Linked DNA regions of Alligator mississippiensis. The protein of the gene in region 1 interacts with the protein of each later gene in a pairwise test. Links are inferred from orthologs where the notes say so. Each region holds a gene or a part of one and is shown in the gene's direction. Other genes may lie near its edges.

What was found. The genes of interacting proteins can lie anywhere in the genome.
Region 2: the proteins of CREB1 (region 1) and TSSK4 interact in binary tests that used the Homo sapiens proteins (3 or more experiments, as listed by UniProt). The link is inferred for Alligator mississippiensis from reciprocal best matches to the Homo sapiens genes CREB1 and TSSK4.

Annotation. Positions count from the first base shown.
Region 1 is NC_081827.1:175,079,411-175,086,809, forward strand, and holds the start of CREB1 (cyclic AMP-responsive element-binding protein 1), read left to right. Parts: upstream 1-4,395; 5' UTR 4,396-4,601; intron 4,602-7,399.
Region 2 is NC_081830.1:7,858,902-7,866,723, forward strand, and holds TSSK4 (testis-specific serine/threonine-protein kinase 4), read left to right. Parts: upstream 1-4,804; 5' UTR 4,805-5,594; coding exon 5,595-5,819; intron 5,820-5,938; coding exon 5,939-6,928; intron 6,929-7,152; coding exon 7,153-7,371; 3' UTR 7,372-7,425; downstream 7,426-7,822. Other genes in the region: TM9SF1 (transmembrane 9 superfamily member 1), read right to left, coding at 1,089-1,362, 2,009-2,819, 3,741-4,061. UniProt on the Homo sapiens protein: Serine/threonine kinase which is involved in male germ cell development and in mature sperm function. May be involved in the Cre/Creb signaling pathway. Phosphorylates CREB1 on 'Ser-133' in vitro and can stimulate Cre/Creb pathway in cells.

The DNA of each region.
Region 1 (7,399 bases):
GCTACACGTGCACCCGCATGCAGCCCTTACGCATCACCAATGCTGATTATCTTTTATTAGACCAACTCAAATAGTTGGAAAACTATTAACACTATTGACCTAAGCTTTCAGGGCACTACATCAAGTTATTAGAGTACTAACTGATTTTGCAGTTACAACTTCCGGTTATTATTTTCTATTATTTTGAGGCACGTTCTTTTTTTATTATTATCTATTTAATTTTTTAAGATGCTTTACAAAAATAAAAAGAAAGGTCCCTAGCCAAAAGGATTTACTACCTGAGCTCCAATTCAGGATGGAGGTAAAAGCAGTTGCCCTTGCTCTTGAATAATCTTGAAGGACTATAGCCTAAATCAGAAAATTATACATGGGAAAGATAACAACATAAATAGGGAAGTGAATCGTAAAGGCTGAAAATACTGAAAGACATTGGAATAATTTTGTGCAAGAAGCGTTTATGTTCCAGTGTTAAGGATAAGGTAGAGCAGAGAAGAACAAGCATGTCAGGAATCAAGGTCAGCAGCAAAAAAAATGACAGAAGCAGGCTTTGGAAGGAAGGGAAATTTGAAAGATAAGTAAGAATTGTTGAAACTATTCAAGGTAGAGTCAGTGCAATGTTGGGGAGGATGGAGAAAAACACAAAATACAATTGTAGGTAAAGCTGACAGTGGAAGTAACAAAGAGGAGAGTGAGAAAAACATAAGGTGTTTAGATGTGGCTGGAACAGAGTTGTGCAGGATCTTCAAAGTGACAAAGAGAAGGTTGAATTAAATAAAGTGGCAAAGAGCCAACATTTTCTTAAGAGAGAAATAATTCAAGAGTCAAGAATTCTTATGGTGACATTTTTTAATGGACCAACTGTATGGTTGACAGAACCATAGGTAAGCATTCAAGTATCACAGCACCCTTCCCCAGGACTGAGACAGAAGCAGACATGACTGAGCCAAGTATCAGATGGAACAAAAGCTTGTTAAATAGGATCATTATCACCTGTGAAGTGCAGGGGTTAGGGGTATCAGGACAATTATAATGGGCCATTAAGTCTTTGCCTCCTGGTGGTTAGTGTCCAATAGGCTGATGAATTTCTGTTCACACACTCACTTTGTAAAGATTTGGGGGGGAATTACCCTGAGCACTAGAACTACAAGGTCAGAAGCAGAGTGATTTTCCTATGAAAAATGTTGTCTTACTACCTGAGTTCTAATGTCTCTGTCCTTTATCTTTTCTCTGTGGTCATTAATTTTGCTGCACAGTTTTTGTCTGGTTTCACCCATATAGTTTCCATGAGGGCAGTGGATGAGGTATTCCACATTTTGGGATAATCATATGTCTGATCCATGGATTCTGATGGTTTTGTAGTGGAGAGTGTTGATTGTTGTGGCAGCCGAGATCTACTGACAGATTTTGCATTAACTGTTGAGTCTTAAAGATATAAACAGGGGTGTAGGTTGTAGCCGTGTTGGTCTAAGGACATAGGCAGACAAGGTTCTTTAGGTGAATCTGATATCTTTTATTAGACCAGCTTAAATAGTTGGAAAACAATAATTGTTTTCCAACTATTTAAGTTGGTCTAATAAAAGATATCAGATTTACCCAAAGAACCTTGTCTTAAAGATATAAAGTAATTCTCAGTGGGCACATTTACATATGCATTAACATGCTGTAATTATGGCACATTAAGTTTAGTACCTGTAATAACAGGTACTAACTTAATGTAATAACAGGTAATAACAGGTAATATTAGTACCTGTAATAACAGGTATGAACTTAATGTGCCATAATCGGTGCTACTGTGCATTAGCGTTGGCGCATGTCTTTTGGGTGATACTAATGCTCAGTAGACTAATTCTACTGCACGTTAATGCGTTAGCATGGCTTTCGCATGGCTTTAGTCTACTGTACTTCTGGCATCTTGTATAGATGCACCCAGTAGCAATAAAAATATTGGGATGCAGAGATGATTTGGTAAACTAAGGACATGTCTACATGAAATGCTACTACGCAGTATAAAAAGTACTAAATAAATGTGTAGAAACCGGAGTTACTGCGCAGGAACACCAGTGAACACCTTTTAAGTGACACTACTGTGCAGTACCCTCATAATACTGCACAGTAGCTTTTTAGGACTCTTGGTGCTGAGACACGCTACCGCGCAGATTATTCTGCTACTGCGCAGTCAGCGTTTCATGTAAATGCACTCAAATATGTGCTTTCTGCCTGATTTAGTTTGAGGAAGCAAAAGGATATCCAGAAGGAATTTTAGGAGATACAAAAGGCTGTACAAAGGGAGGGATATCCAAAGGGGGAGAGAGAGAGCAGCATTGAAACAGAAAATGAGAGTACCTAAGTTATCAGGAATGTAAAAGCAAACGAAGGAGACCGAGTCCAAGAACAATTTTTGGGGAACAAGAACAAAATGAGAAATTAGAGAACATAGTAGTGTACTTAAGGGGAGGTGACCAAGACAGATGCCACAAGGGCTGCCTTAATTTGGGGAGGGAGGTGGCACAAAAATAACCATGACTGCAATGGTGGCTGATCTCGCCACCGTGTTCAGCGCTGTTGCAGCTACCCCAGAGGCCGCACAGTTGCCCAAGGCATGGGACTGACCTGCTATACCCCTGAGATGACAGGTCTACACGGCCCATGGGCAGATCTAGACTTTTGAAAAGGGGAGTGCAGATGGCGAGGTGCGTCCTCACATATAAAATAAAACATTTTTCTCCAGTTAAAAATAAACCAGAAGCTTTACTAATATGCTAGGGGCCTAGGGCTGTATTATTCATTTTAAGATTGAAGCAAAAACAAATATAACTTCGTTGGAATGAATTAAAAACAACCTATAGGCCTACGCAACTGGTAGGGGGAGCACGGGGGGGAGGGGCATGTACCCCCCCCCCCCCCCGACAGGGCCATCCCCGCCACCACCGGCCGCATCTGCAGGTGCTCACCAGCCCTGTTGAAGCTGCTGCTGCCGGCTTCTGTGGGTGACCCCCCCGGACTCAGGAGGCACCAGTTGCCTATGCCTATAGAACTGTGAAATAGGCCTATTCGATGCATTTTGGGAACACGGGCCTTATATACACAAAGCAACAGTTAGCTTTCCTTGTAATTACCCACCACGCAAAAGTCTGTGGGGGAAGGGGCCATGGGGAGGAGGGAGTAAGACTGGGGCTGGCACTGGGCAGGGATTGGGCTCGGGGCCGGGGTCCACTGCACCCATGCAAATACCCCTTCCCCCACATCAGGGGTCATTACCGGTGCCGGCGTCCACTGTCCCCCAGCCCTGCACTGGCCCTGGCTGCCTTCCTGCACTGGAACTGGTTCGGCCAGCTGTGGCGCTGGGCCAGAGGAGATGGAGTCCCTGGGATCCCCGCCCCACCCTGTCTAAAGTCATCCCCAGAAAGTGCCCAGTGGGTCCTGCAGAGTCGTGGTACTGGGGAGCCAAGCACCCCCCCGGCCCCCCAATCTTTGTGCGGAGCAAGGGCAGGCTGCAGCTGCATCACAGAGCAGGGCAGGGGCGGGGATGAATGATTTGCCCCTGCCCCTACTCCTCCCCTGCCCTCCTGCACTGTGGGGGTCTTGATCTCCCCCCAAAGAAGAAACCTTATCTACCTGCCTCTGCCTGCTGTGCCGGGCTGCTGTTCCCCCTGCTGCAGCAGCCTGCGGGCGGGTTGCCCAGTGGCAAACCCAGAAGCACCACCAGCGCTTCTCTTGATGGGGGCACGGCCAATCTCAGGGGGTGCGTGTGCACCCCCTACGCATTGCCAATGCAACATGGCTGCCTTACAGCAGCCCCAAGCACGTGATGACAAACAGGCCCAAGGCGCGGGCTGCTGCCAGCCCAGCTTCCCAATTCGGCAGATGCCGAGTGAGGGGACAGGGCCTGCTCCTGGCAGGTGGGCCTGGGGGCAGCCCCGTGTATGCCTTCAGAGCCAACCAAGCAGTAGAGCCATGGGAAGTTGGCAGCAGGGTTTGAATTACTGGGGAGCTGGTGGGAAGGGGCTGAGCCCCACATAAGAGATGAGAGCCCCGCTGATACATCATAACCTGTGGGGAGGGTCTCCGATTTTATTAGGGCATGGTGATGGGCAACCCAATTTTTTCTGCAGACGCCCCGAGAGTCCAAGGGCAGTGGGAAGGCAGGCTGGCTGGGGTGCAAGAGCCAAGGGCGGCGGGGGCCCGCACAGCTCCGCACTTCGGACATCTCCGTGCACACTCGGAGACTCCCGCGCCCCGCGCTTCGGCTTTCTCCGTGCGGCTTCGGGCCCCTCCGCCTAGCGCGCGGCGCGGCGCGGCCCGGCCCGCCCCGGCCCAAGCGCTTCGGGAGGCCTTCGGGCGTTTCCGCCTTCGGCAGCGCTCGGGTGTTTCCGGCAGCGCTCGGGCGTTTCCGCGCGGGGCCGCGGCGCGCTCGGCGCTTGCTCCCTGGCTGGCGCTCCTCAGTCGGCCGCTGCCTGCCTGTCGCCGGGCTGGGAGAGCCCGTGTGTGTGAGTGACGCGGCGGAGGTGTAGTTTGACGCGGTGTGTTACGTGGGGGAGAGAATAAAACTGCGGCGAGATCCGAGGCGCGAACGAAAGCAGTGACGGAGCCGCGCGGAGCCGGTAAGGGGAGGACGAGCCCGGCCGAGGGGGGGGCGCCGCCGGCGGGGACCCGGCGCCAGGCGCCCGGCGCGGCCCGGCCTGCATCGCCCGCCTCAAAGATGGAGCCGCGCCGAGCCCGGCACCAGCCCCGCCGCCGCCGCCGCCGCGAACAAAGAGTAATGGCGGATGGAGCCGGCCCGGCCCGGCCGAGGCCGCTCGGGCTGCGGGGGGGCGCCGCCGCGGGGCCCGCCGCTGCCTCCCTCCCTCCCGGAGGGGCCGCTCCGCTCTGCTCTGCTCCGCTGCGCTCCGCTCCCCTCCCGAGAGCGGCCCCGCGGGCGGCGGGGCCCGGCCACGCGGGGCTGGGGGGAGGTGGGGGGTTGTTTTGTTTCGTTTTACTTTGTTTTTTTTTCAAAGCGAAGCCGCCGCCTCCCTCCTCCCGGCCCCGCACAGGCGGATCCAGCGGCGGCGAGACGGGTCCGTGGCCGCCTCCGCCGCCGCTGCCGGGGGAAGGCAGGATCGGCCCATCTCGGCCCCGCGCCTGCTCTGCTGCTTGCTGCCTTTTTTTTTTTTTCTTCTTCTTCTTTCCCCTCTCCCCCCTATTTTTATTTAATTATTTTTTTGTTCCCCCAAAGCAAACTGGACGCGGCCAGGGCTGTAGGGCCTGGCTGGCTGCCTCCCCCGCTGCTGGCGCTGCTGGCTTGGCTCTGCCGGGCTTCCCCTCCCTGCCCCCCGCAAACGGCTCTGCAGGCCTGGCCCTCCTGCTCTTCCTACGTTTTGCGCCCCCCCCCCGCCGCCCCCCCCTTATTTTTCATTCTCCCACCTCTACACTAGGAATTACCACCCCCCCACCCCCCCCAATTTCCAGCTTGCTAGGGCTGTGCAATTCACCATTCTCCTCTACCGTTATATTAAAATATTGTGCTGTTCATTTTAAAGGCACAGTCTTTTCAGTCTTATTATTCACTCTCGTTTGTGTGTTTTGTTTTGTTTTTCTTTGACACCTATGGTTGTCACGTTTGTAGTTGGTTTCAAACGAATTTTGCTTGTAGTTTGACCAAAGTCATGTGACTGGTCTCTTCAAAACCATTTCTACCCCACCTCCCCTTTTAACACAAACTCTTGCCAGCAACTTGCTGCTCCTGGGAAATCTTTGGTCATCAGCCAGTGCAATGAAGAAAGTTCTTAGGGAAAAAAAACACTTCAAGTTTCCCAAGTCTTGCATAGAAGTCTGAAAATACTGAGCATCTTTCAATCCTGCAGAGATAACTAATAAAGGTTTATAATACCATGTTTTGAAGGTTTTTTGTGATTAAACAATACCTTCCTCTGCCGTCAGGTACTGGGTGATGGTTGGGGGTGGGGTGGCAGTTGGGTTTTGTTTTGTTGGGGTTTTTTGGAGCTGTTGCAGTCCTGAGTCCTTCACTAGATCAAGTTGCAAGATGGGGGAGCCTTTGAATTATAAGAAGATTTATACAACTGAAATCCCAAATTTAACTTTTTTCCTAAGCCAAATTACATGCAAAATGGTAGATTTTAGTATGTGAATGTCTCTTTTCTGTCATTCTGCTGTATTGTGTCTGGTAGTGTGCTGTGGTATCCCAGAGTGCTGAGAGTACTGTGCACACCTAACACTGCTAAGGCTGTTGGGTCTGCAAACATTTACACAATTCACTCGATTGAACACAAGGATTTCAAATAGGAATCCATCGTGTCACAAATATTCTGACCTGTTGTTGTCTGAGTTCTTTGCAACAGAACAGTTGCCTTATGTTACTTTTACATACTCAAAAAATGAGTAAAAGCTAAGAGCTGGCATTTGTGGAGTGGTGCCTTGAGTCTAAAAAGATTGACAGCCACTGCTCCATTGCTTTTCCTTTTGGAAAGGAAACCAAATGGCATTTGTTTTATGCATGATGAACTTGACAGTAGAAGAGCACGTCACAATGTTAAAATTGAGAGACCTGGTGCAAAACCCACTGAAATCAATTAATGTTTCCATTGTCTTTCGTGTGCAGTGGACTTTGTCCTCAAAGTATGGATTGGCTAATAGAAATTTAAATACAACATGCTGTTGTTAGGTGTCACCATCTTGGTGGGAGGAATATGCCTTTATTAATAGAAAACAGGATCATAAACATTTGCACCTTGGTATACAGCTCCATTCTATCCCCAAAACGTTCTACTTGATGGAAGAGTAGAGGTATCTAGACCATTAGTTTTATGTCTTGCAAGATATCTGGTTAAAATATGGCATCCCTCAAAAATGCTAAAGCTTAACTTAGTTTGCTTTAAAATTTTACTCATGTTTTGCCAATTAAACTAATGCCCTTTTACTATTTTGTAGAGAATTTTGCCCTGGGAAAACACTGAGCTCCTAAGTGTGCAAGAAAAATGTCCTGATCTCTCTGGAGGTTAGGTCTTGGCTGCCCTACTGGATAATGGCTCTAGTGTGGTGAAATAGGGGTGTCACTTGAGCCTTGTAGCTTCTTGGCTTTATGTCTCAGAGGGAAGAAGGGGTTAATGCTGGTAGAGTTTGTATTCCCCCCCCCAACCACCACTCGCTCAAGAGCCCTAAAATGAAATCTCTCACAGGTTGGGCAGATGATCAAATGTGATCGTTCTTCAGGTACTTTCTTCAGCAGGGCCAAAGCCTACGATACTGACCTTTTAGATTATTGTAATTTATATAGAAAATAGAAGTGAAATGATATATTGGTCCGATATCAGATTGGTACCAATATAAAGAAAATTTGCTTTATCGGATATTAGCCTAATGGGGCCTGAACTGATAACTTGGCTGATAAATGCCCGTGCTGCGC
Region 2 (7,822 bases), on another chromosome or scaffold:
CACTGTCATGCAGCAAGGGGGAAACAGGAAGTGGAATGTGCCAAGCAAGTGACATCATCCCACCACCAGAGAGACTTCATTGTCCCTTTGGAGAAGCAGAAGAGAAACAAGAAGTGATCCTACCAAGGAAGTGACATCATCCGTGTGGGAAAGAAAAAGGCAAACAGGAAGTGGTTTGTGCCATGGAAGTGACAGCAAACATGGAGGGGAGAAACAGGAAGTGATTGTGCCAAGAAAGTTACATCATCATTCTTTCAGATAGCATCCTGTTTGTCTACTTCCTATTTCCTTGGCACCATCCACTTCCCCTCTTCCTCCTTCCTGTGTGGAGGGACAATGAGGTCACTTACTCAGCACAATCTACTTCTTGTTTCCCTCCTACCTACTTGGATGGATCAGGGGTTGTCAGCCAGGGCCATGCATACCCCTAGGGGTACTTGGACTGGTCCTAGGGGGTATGCGTGGGCAGGAGAGGACGGAGTGCTGCCGCGTCCCAGGAGCAGGGCCGGGGCAGAACGAGGGCAGGGGCATCCCTCTGTGGGGAGGGGAACCTCACATGTGGTGGCCGCTGCTGCATACCAGCCCGATGAGCTTCCCCGCCCTGCCCTGACTCCTGGGAGGTGGTGGCACTCTGTCCCCACCTGCCCATGTGCCATCTCTGCCTCCCTGCTCCATGTCCAGCCGTGCACCCTGCCCCCCGCTTTCCCCCTCAGCATCCAGCTGCAAGCTACCCGCCCCCCACAACCCCCCTGCCAGTCAGCATCTGGCCACCAAGATACTTTGACTAAAAAAGGCTGAAAACCCTTGGGATAAATGATGACATAGCATCCCTATTTCCTGTCTAGGGGACTGGCAACAAGCATCCTCATTCAGGAAAGCCAAGAGTTGGCCCACTGGTGTAGGGGACAGGACATGGAGGAGCCGGGCACCATGGAGACCCTCCAAGGATCCAGCCCAGGTCAGAGGACCACAGAGAGCCCTGGGCCGCCTCTGCCTAAGGCCATCATGGAAGGGGGGGCGCTGCCTGGGCAGTCCCCCCCACCCCTCCCTCTCCTCAGCAGGGTAGCAGACAGGAAGGGAGGGCTCACCTGAAGGGCAGGAAGCCACCAATGGTCATGTGCACCAGGGTGGACTTGTACCAGGGCTGGGGCGGGATCTCCCGGGCGATGTTCTTGGTACGACAGGGTGCGTCGAAGTGGCCGGCGCGGTTCTTGCCGAAGATGCCCCCGATGACGGTGAGGGGGAAGCCAACCAACAGCCACACACTCAGCAGCAACAAGATGGTGGTGGCTGGCAGGGCCTGTGTGGAGCCATTGGCCCAGTGCACCGAGTTGACCACGCTCCACGTCAAAAAGAAGGGGGCTGGGAGTGAGGAGAGACGGGGTCAGGGCAAGGACGAGACCACCGAGATGCCCCAAAAGTGACTGAAGAGTCCCACCCTGGCCATGGAGGAACCCTGCTAAGGGGAGGACCAGATACCACCACCCCACATCCTCTGGGGACCACAGAGACCCTTCAAGGGAGGCCAGGCAAACCCATATCACATCCTCCAGGGACCACAGAGTTGCCTCAAGGATGGCCAGGCAGACCCATCCCTCATCTTTTGGGACCCACAGAAAGCCATCATAAGACAGGCCACAGACCCATCCCAGATCCTCCAGGAACCATACACACCAACCCCTACAGAGACCACACAGACCAACCGCACATCCTATGGGGACCAAAGAGACCCTGCAAGGGAGGCCAGACAGACCCACGTCACATCCTCTGGGAACCAGAGAGATGCCCCAAGGGAGGCCAGATGGATCCATTCCACCTCCACCAAAAGATCACGGACACTCCTGAGTGAAGCACTGCAACCCCCACCCCGGGTATCATTGAGACTCCCAAAGTGGGTCCAGATGGTCCACTCCACCATCCTCCAGAGTCATAGAGGTGCCCCCCACACACAGACCTCCCCACCCCAAGACTGTAAAAACTATGAGGGGGCAGAGGGCCTTCTCCTCACCAGAGAAAAGGCTGGTGGTGAGCACGATGTTCCACACCCAGCTCTCACCCCCCAGCTGCCGGTAGAAGTGGCTGGAGACGTAGCCAGCCACGCAGCAGGTGAGGGCATAGAGCAAGATAGCGGCTGAGTTGATGGCACCGTGGCGGTGAACATTGAAGACTCCCAGCAACGCCATGACGATGATGCCGGTGCCCAGGGCCAGGAACTGACTGCCCACGCCCAACACAGCGCACAGCAGGCCGCGGCAAGGCGGGAAGCGGAAGACGTCGGTGTGGATGATCTTCCAGCCGTTGTCCCCCTGGTCGTAGTCGTCGGCTGCAGCCGAGGTCGAAGCCTCCTCGTCTAGGTTGTAGCGGGCCAGGTCATTCTTGAGGACCCTCATGAGGATGACCACCACGAAGCCCACCAGGAGAAAGACCAGAACCATGGAGTTGATGATGGACAACCAGTGGATCTCCAAAGTGCGGGGGAAGAAGGCGTCGTCGCCACCCCGGCCATGCCGCTCGCCCCGGCGCTCAGTGGCCGTCTCTGACCAGCGGATGCTGTAGGTGTGGGCCATGGGGAAGGGACCTGGCCCGGCCAGGTCATCCAGGCTGCGGGGCTTGACGTCCCTCACGCTGACGTTGGCGTAGACGATGTGGTTGCCGTTCCACTCCAGGTGAAAGTCCAGGTGCGTCCAGAGCCCCACCTTGTGGCTGTGGGGCAGGAACCCGCTCTCCTCCATGTAGCCCACGAAGCCCCTTAGAGGCAGGTCATCCACTACGAACTCGAAGTAGTAGAGCTCCTCGATGGCCCGGCGGAGCTGCGCCACCTGTCGGGGGCAGGGTGAGGACCCAGGCATCTGGGCTCCCAGCATCCCCCACTCTAATGCCCCAGGTTCCCTCTCCTCCCAGACCCCTGGCTAGGGCCCAGATGTCCCATCTCACCCCCCACCCCGGTGGCCCCAGAACCCGGGCATCTGGGCTGGGCTCCCCAGAACAAGACTTGTGGGGTCATGCCAACCTGGGGTCCTCACACCCCTGAGATGTCCATTCCAGTGCCTGAACTATGGTGGGGTCATGCTAATCTGGGGTCCTTGCACCCCTATCTTAGAGTCTATCCCAGCACCTTGGTCATCCTGGGGTCCTTGAACCCCTATCCAAGGCATCCATTTGTGCCTTGGCCATGGCAGGGGTCACGCTGAGCTTGGGTCTTCACATCCCTGCCTGGGGTGCCCACCCCAGTGCCTGAACTATGGTGGGGTCATGCTAATTTAGGGTCCTTGAACCCCTAACTGAGGAGCTCACTCCAGTGCCTTGGCCATGGCAGGGGTCACGCTGAGCTTGGGTTTTCATGCCCATACCCAAGATGTCTACACCAGTGCCTTGGCTGGGTTCGGGTCACACCCACCTGGCGTCCTTACACCTCTAGCTGAGAGTCTACCCCAGCATCTCAGCCATCCTGGGGTCCCTGAACCCCAATCCGAGGCATGCACCCTAGGCCCTTGGCTATGACAGGGGTCACACCAAGCTTGGGCCTTCACATCCCTACTCAAGGTGTCAACCTCAGTGCCTTGGCTGGGACAGGGTCACATCAACCTGGGGTCCTTGCACACCTAACTGAGGTGCCCACCCCAGTGCCTTGGTGGTGGCAGAGATCACACCAAGCTGGCGTCTTCACGCCCCTAGCCAAAGCGTGCACCCCGCGCCTCAGCCAATACTAAGCTGGAAGCCAGGCATCCATACGGGGCTACCTGGTCAGGGCTGAGCTTCATCTCGCACAGGGTCCTCTTCTCCACGTTCTCCCGGAAGCGGATCTGATAGAGGGACTCGGCCATGCGGTCGCCATCCAGCACCTCCCCCAGAGTCAGGCTCTTGTGCCGGATCTTCTCGGGGGAGCACACAGGCAGCTGGTAGTAGTGGTAGGTCTCCTGAGGGTTGTGGTAGGGCCCCACCTTGTTGACGTATAGCATGACTGGGTCCCCCGGCTTGTACTGGGCCTCCGAGGACCCCGGCAGTGGGCAGGTCCCCAGCAGGAGGAGCAGCAGGGGCACGCAGGGGTGGTGGGATGCCATGGGGCCTGCACTGAGGAAGTTGGGAAACTGGAGAGAAGTGGGAGGGAGTGAGAGCCTGGACTCCTGCGACCCGCCCCCGCCCCGCCAACACAGGTGCCCGCAGAGACGGGTCAAAGCGGTGGCAGCCCCAGGACCCCATCCCAGGTGCTCAGCGACCACCGGGGACTTCATGTCTTTGCCCAAGGTGCCCCCGCCCCCCAGTGCCTGGACCACCGCTGGGTCATGTCAACCTGGGGTCCTTGCACCCCTGCCCAGAGCACCCGTCCCAGGGGTGGGGCCATGCTGGCCTGCCCAAGGTGTCCACCCCAGTGCCTGGAGGAGGGTCATGCCAAATTGGGGTCCCTGCACCCCCAGCCTAGGCGTCTGTGCTAGTGCCATTGACCAGGGTCATGCCAACCAGGGTCCTCGCACTCCTGCCCGAGGTGCCCCCCACGCCTGGGGCATCCTGGGGTCTCGCCCCCCGGCCCCCCGCCGCCCAGGGGTCCTCGCTCACCGGCTGCCCCGGCGGTGCCTGCTGCCTGGAGGCCCGGGCCCCGCGCCCAGCCGACGGGAGTCCCCAGAAGCAGCCGACCAGCCAGGCAGCACCGACCAGCCTGGGGGCCTCGCTGGCTCGCGGCTGCCTGTCACAACGCCTGACCTCCGGCGCCCCCCTGCTCCGGCTCAGACGCTTCCAAACCCCCTGCTCGGCTTCCCGGAGGGTCCCCCGACAAGCGGACGTCGGCCCTTCCCCGGAGAACTGCCCCCCCGGCCGGAACCAAGAGCGACAAGTTGTGGGGACCTTCAGGCGACGGCCAGGTCAGCCCTAGCCACGTCCACCCGCTACTTCCGCCCTTAGTGCCCGGCCTGGCCTTCATGTCCACCCCTGACGTAGTTCCGCTGCGGCCGTCCCTCTCTCCCGCCTTTGGGGCCGCCTTAAAGGGCACTGTGCACAGAAGGCGGTGGGAGGCCTTAAAGGGCCAGGTCCCTATTTCTGAGAGGAGGAAGGGGGGCCTCTAGCAGCTCTCCAAAATGGGGGGTTCTGGGTGACCCAAGCTGAACCCCCATTCCCTAGTGGCCCCAATATATGAACACCCACAAATCACCCCCCCATGTGGGGCATGGGCAGCTCCCCAATGCCCCCCAGTTCCCCCCACTGAGATGATGCTCCCCCACAAAGGGAATGCTCCAGAGGAAGAAGGGGAAGAGACCCCCCCCTTCCCCATCACCCTGGTGACTGGCTCCAGCCAATGGGGGTGCCTGGATTGTTGGGGAGCACTGTGATGTCACCAGCTTAGGGGTGTGATTCCAGGTCAGCAAGTCAGGGGCAGCGGCAGGGCCCAGGTGGGCTCCTTGCTGATTGGTGGAAGGCGGCAGGAGAGAGGGGATCATGGCCTACTGGGCGGGGGGCTGATGGGGGTCCCCTATGTGGGGTCCTGGGCACGCTGACCTCCCCCCTTGCCCATCCGCTTTCTCAGGGCACTGGCTTCCCGCAGCGCACCCGCCTGCAGTCGCGCTGGCCCGCAGCCCCTGGAGCCGCGGCGGGGGGCTGGTGCCATGCGGGGGGCCAAGGGGGCGGAGGCGGCAGGGGGCTCAACCCCCTACCTGTCAGTGATGGACCAGTACGGCTACCAGCTGGGCCGCGTCATTGGCCACGGCTCCTACGGCGTTGTGTATGAGGCCTACTTCGTCAAGCAGAAGACCAAGGTGGCCGTCAAGATCATTTCCAAAAAGAAGGCCTCAGAGGACTACCTCAACAAGTTTCTACCCCGCGAAATCCAGGTCCACCCGTTCCTGCACCAGGGGCAGGGATTGGGCCCAGCCAGGGGGCAAGGCCCACCAGGAGGCAGGGCAGAGCTAGACCCTGCCCCACTAACCCAGTGCATGGGCATCACCCACAGGTGATGAAGGGGCTGCGCCACAAGCACCTGGTGATCTTCTACCAGGCCATCGAGACAACGTCGCGCCACTACATCGCCATGGAGCTGGCACCAGGTGGCGATGTGCTGGAGCGGGTGCAGCGTGCGGGGCCCTGCGCTGAGGGCCTTGCCGGCCGCTGGTTTGCCCAGCTCGTGCTGGCTGTGGCCTACCTGCACAGCAAAAGCATCGTGCACCGGTGCGCCCACCTGTCCCTGGCAGCCCCCAGCCCCACGGCATTTCCATGCCACCAGCACCCAGGTCCCCCGTCACCACCCACCTTCTGCTCCCCAGGTGCACTCCCCCACCCTGCTTCAGTACCCCATCACCCCTTTCCAACTCACATCTCCTTGTTCCCATCCCTCTCAGGTGCCTCACATCACCCCCTACCCCTAGTGCCCATCACTGCCCTGTTCCCCATTACCCCCGTGATGCTCATGGCCCGTGCCTATACCCCCTGCCCATTCCTGCAATGCCCATCACCCCCTGGTCCCTGCACCCCTTACTGGCCTGCCCTCTGCCCCTGTGCCCATCACTATCTCGTGCGCCATCCATTCCTTCCAGTGAGGCCCATGGCCCAAGTACCCATCACCCCCTGCCCATTACCCTGCAGGGACCTGAAGCTGGAGAACCTGCTTCTGGACAAGCAGGAGAACATCAAGGTGTCAGACTTCGGGTTCGCACGGGCCATGAGCGGGGGCTCTGGGCTGGTCCTGGCTGGGGACGGGGCTGCAGCTGTGCCAGCGCTCCTGAGCCAGACCTACTGCGGTAGCTTTGCCTACGCCTGCCCTGAAATCCTGCTGGGGATGCCCTACGACCCCTTCCTGGCTGATGTCTGGAGCCTGGGAGTCATCCTTTACACACTGCTGGTCGCCCACCTGCCCTTTGATGACACCAACCTCAAGCGCCTACTGCGTGACACCCAGCGTGATGTCGTCTTCCCCGCCCAGCCCTCAGTGCCCGAGGACTGCAAGGTACCCACCACAGTCAGGGGGCAGGAAATCCTGCATGGGGAACTGGGAGAGTGTGTGTGTTGGGGGGCAGTAAGGGAGTGCTCAGGGCACGAAATCGGGCAAAGGGCTCTGGGGGGCCAGCAGGGTGTATGGGAGAGTAGAACAGATCCAGGTCCTTAAGGGGGTGAGGCAGGGGGTACCCCCCACACCAGGGGTGCCCTCTTACTGCCCCCCATCCCCCATAGGACCTGATCCAGCACCTACTGCGGGAAGCAGCCCGGCGCTTCAGCACCTTAGAGCTGCTGCAGAGCCCCTGGGTGCTGCGCTTCCAGGTTGAGCGCCCCCCAGCAGAGCTGCATGCCCTTGAGACTGCCTGGGGAGGCCGGACAGGGACAGGGGCCAGCGGACCCCCAACAAAAGCCCCCTCAGCTGCTGGGCCGTCCGACAAGAAGAAGGTGGGCTAGTCGGGCCCCTCAAGGCCACCAATGCTTTTGAGAAAGCCAGCTGGGGGGGAAGACACCCCAAAACTAGCTCTGCCCTCACTGGGGGCCCCATTGCTGAGGGGAGCCCCCCACTGTGTCACGGCACTGGGAGCCACCACAGAGCCACAGAGATCCTCACCGAGTTTATTCAGCCGGCGGGGGGGGAGCTTTGGAATCTCCCCCAGCCTGAACCCCAATAAACCCACCCAGGAAACAAAGCTCCCCCAACAACGCCTCCGCCCTGCCTCCCCCCCACAATCAGCACCGAGAGGGGTGCAGAGGAAGCCCCTATTTAAAGGCAGCAAGGAAAGGGTTAACCTGCAATACAAGGCCCCTGAGTAGATGAGGGGGCTAAGAGCAGCCCCCAACAAGCAGTATGGCCCCTCATCGTGCCCCCCCCACAAAGGCACCTGTAGTGTTCTGGGGACGCAGC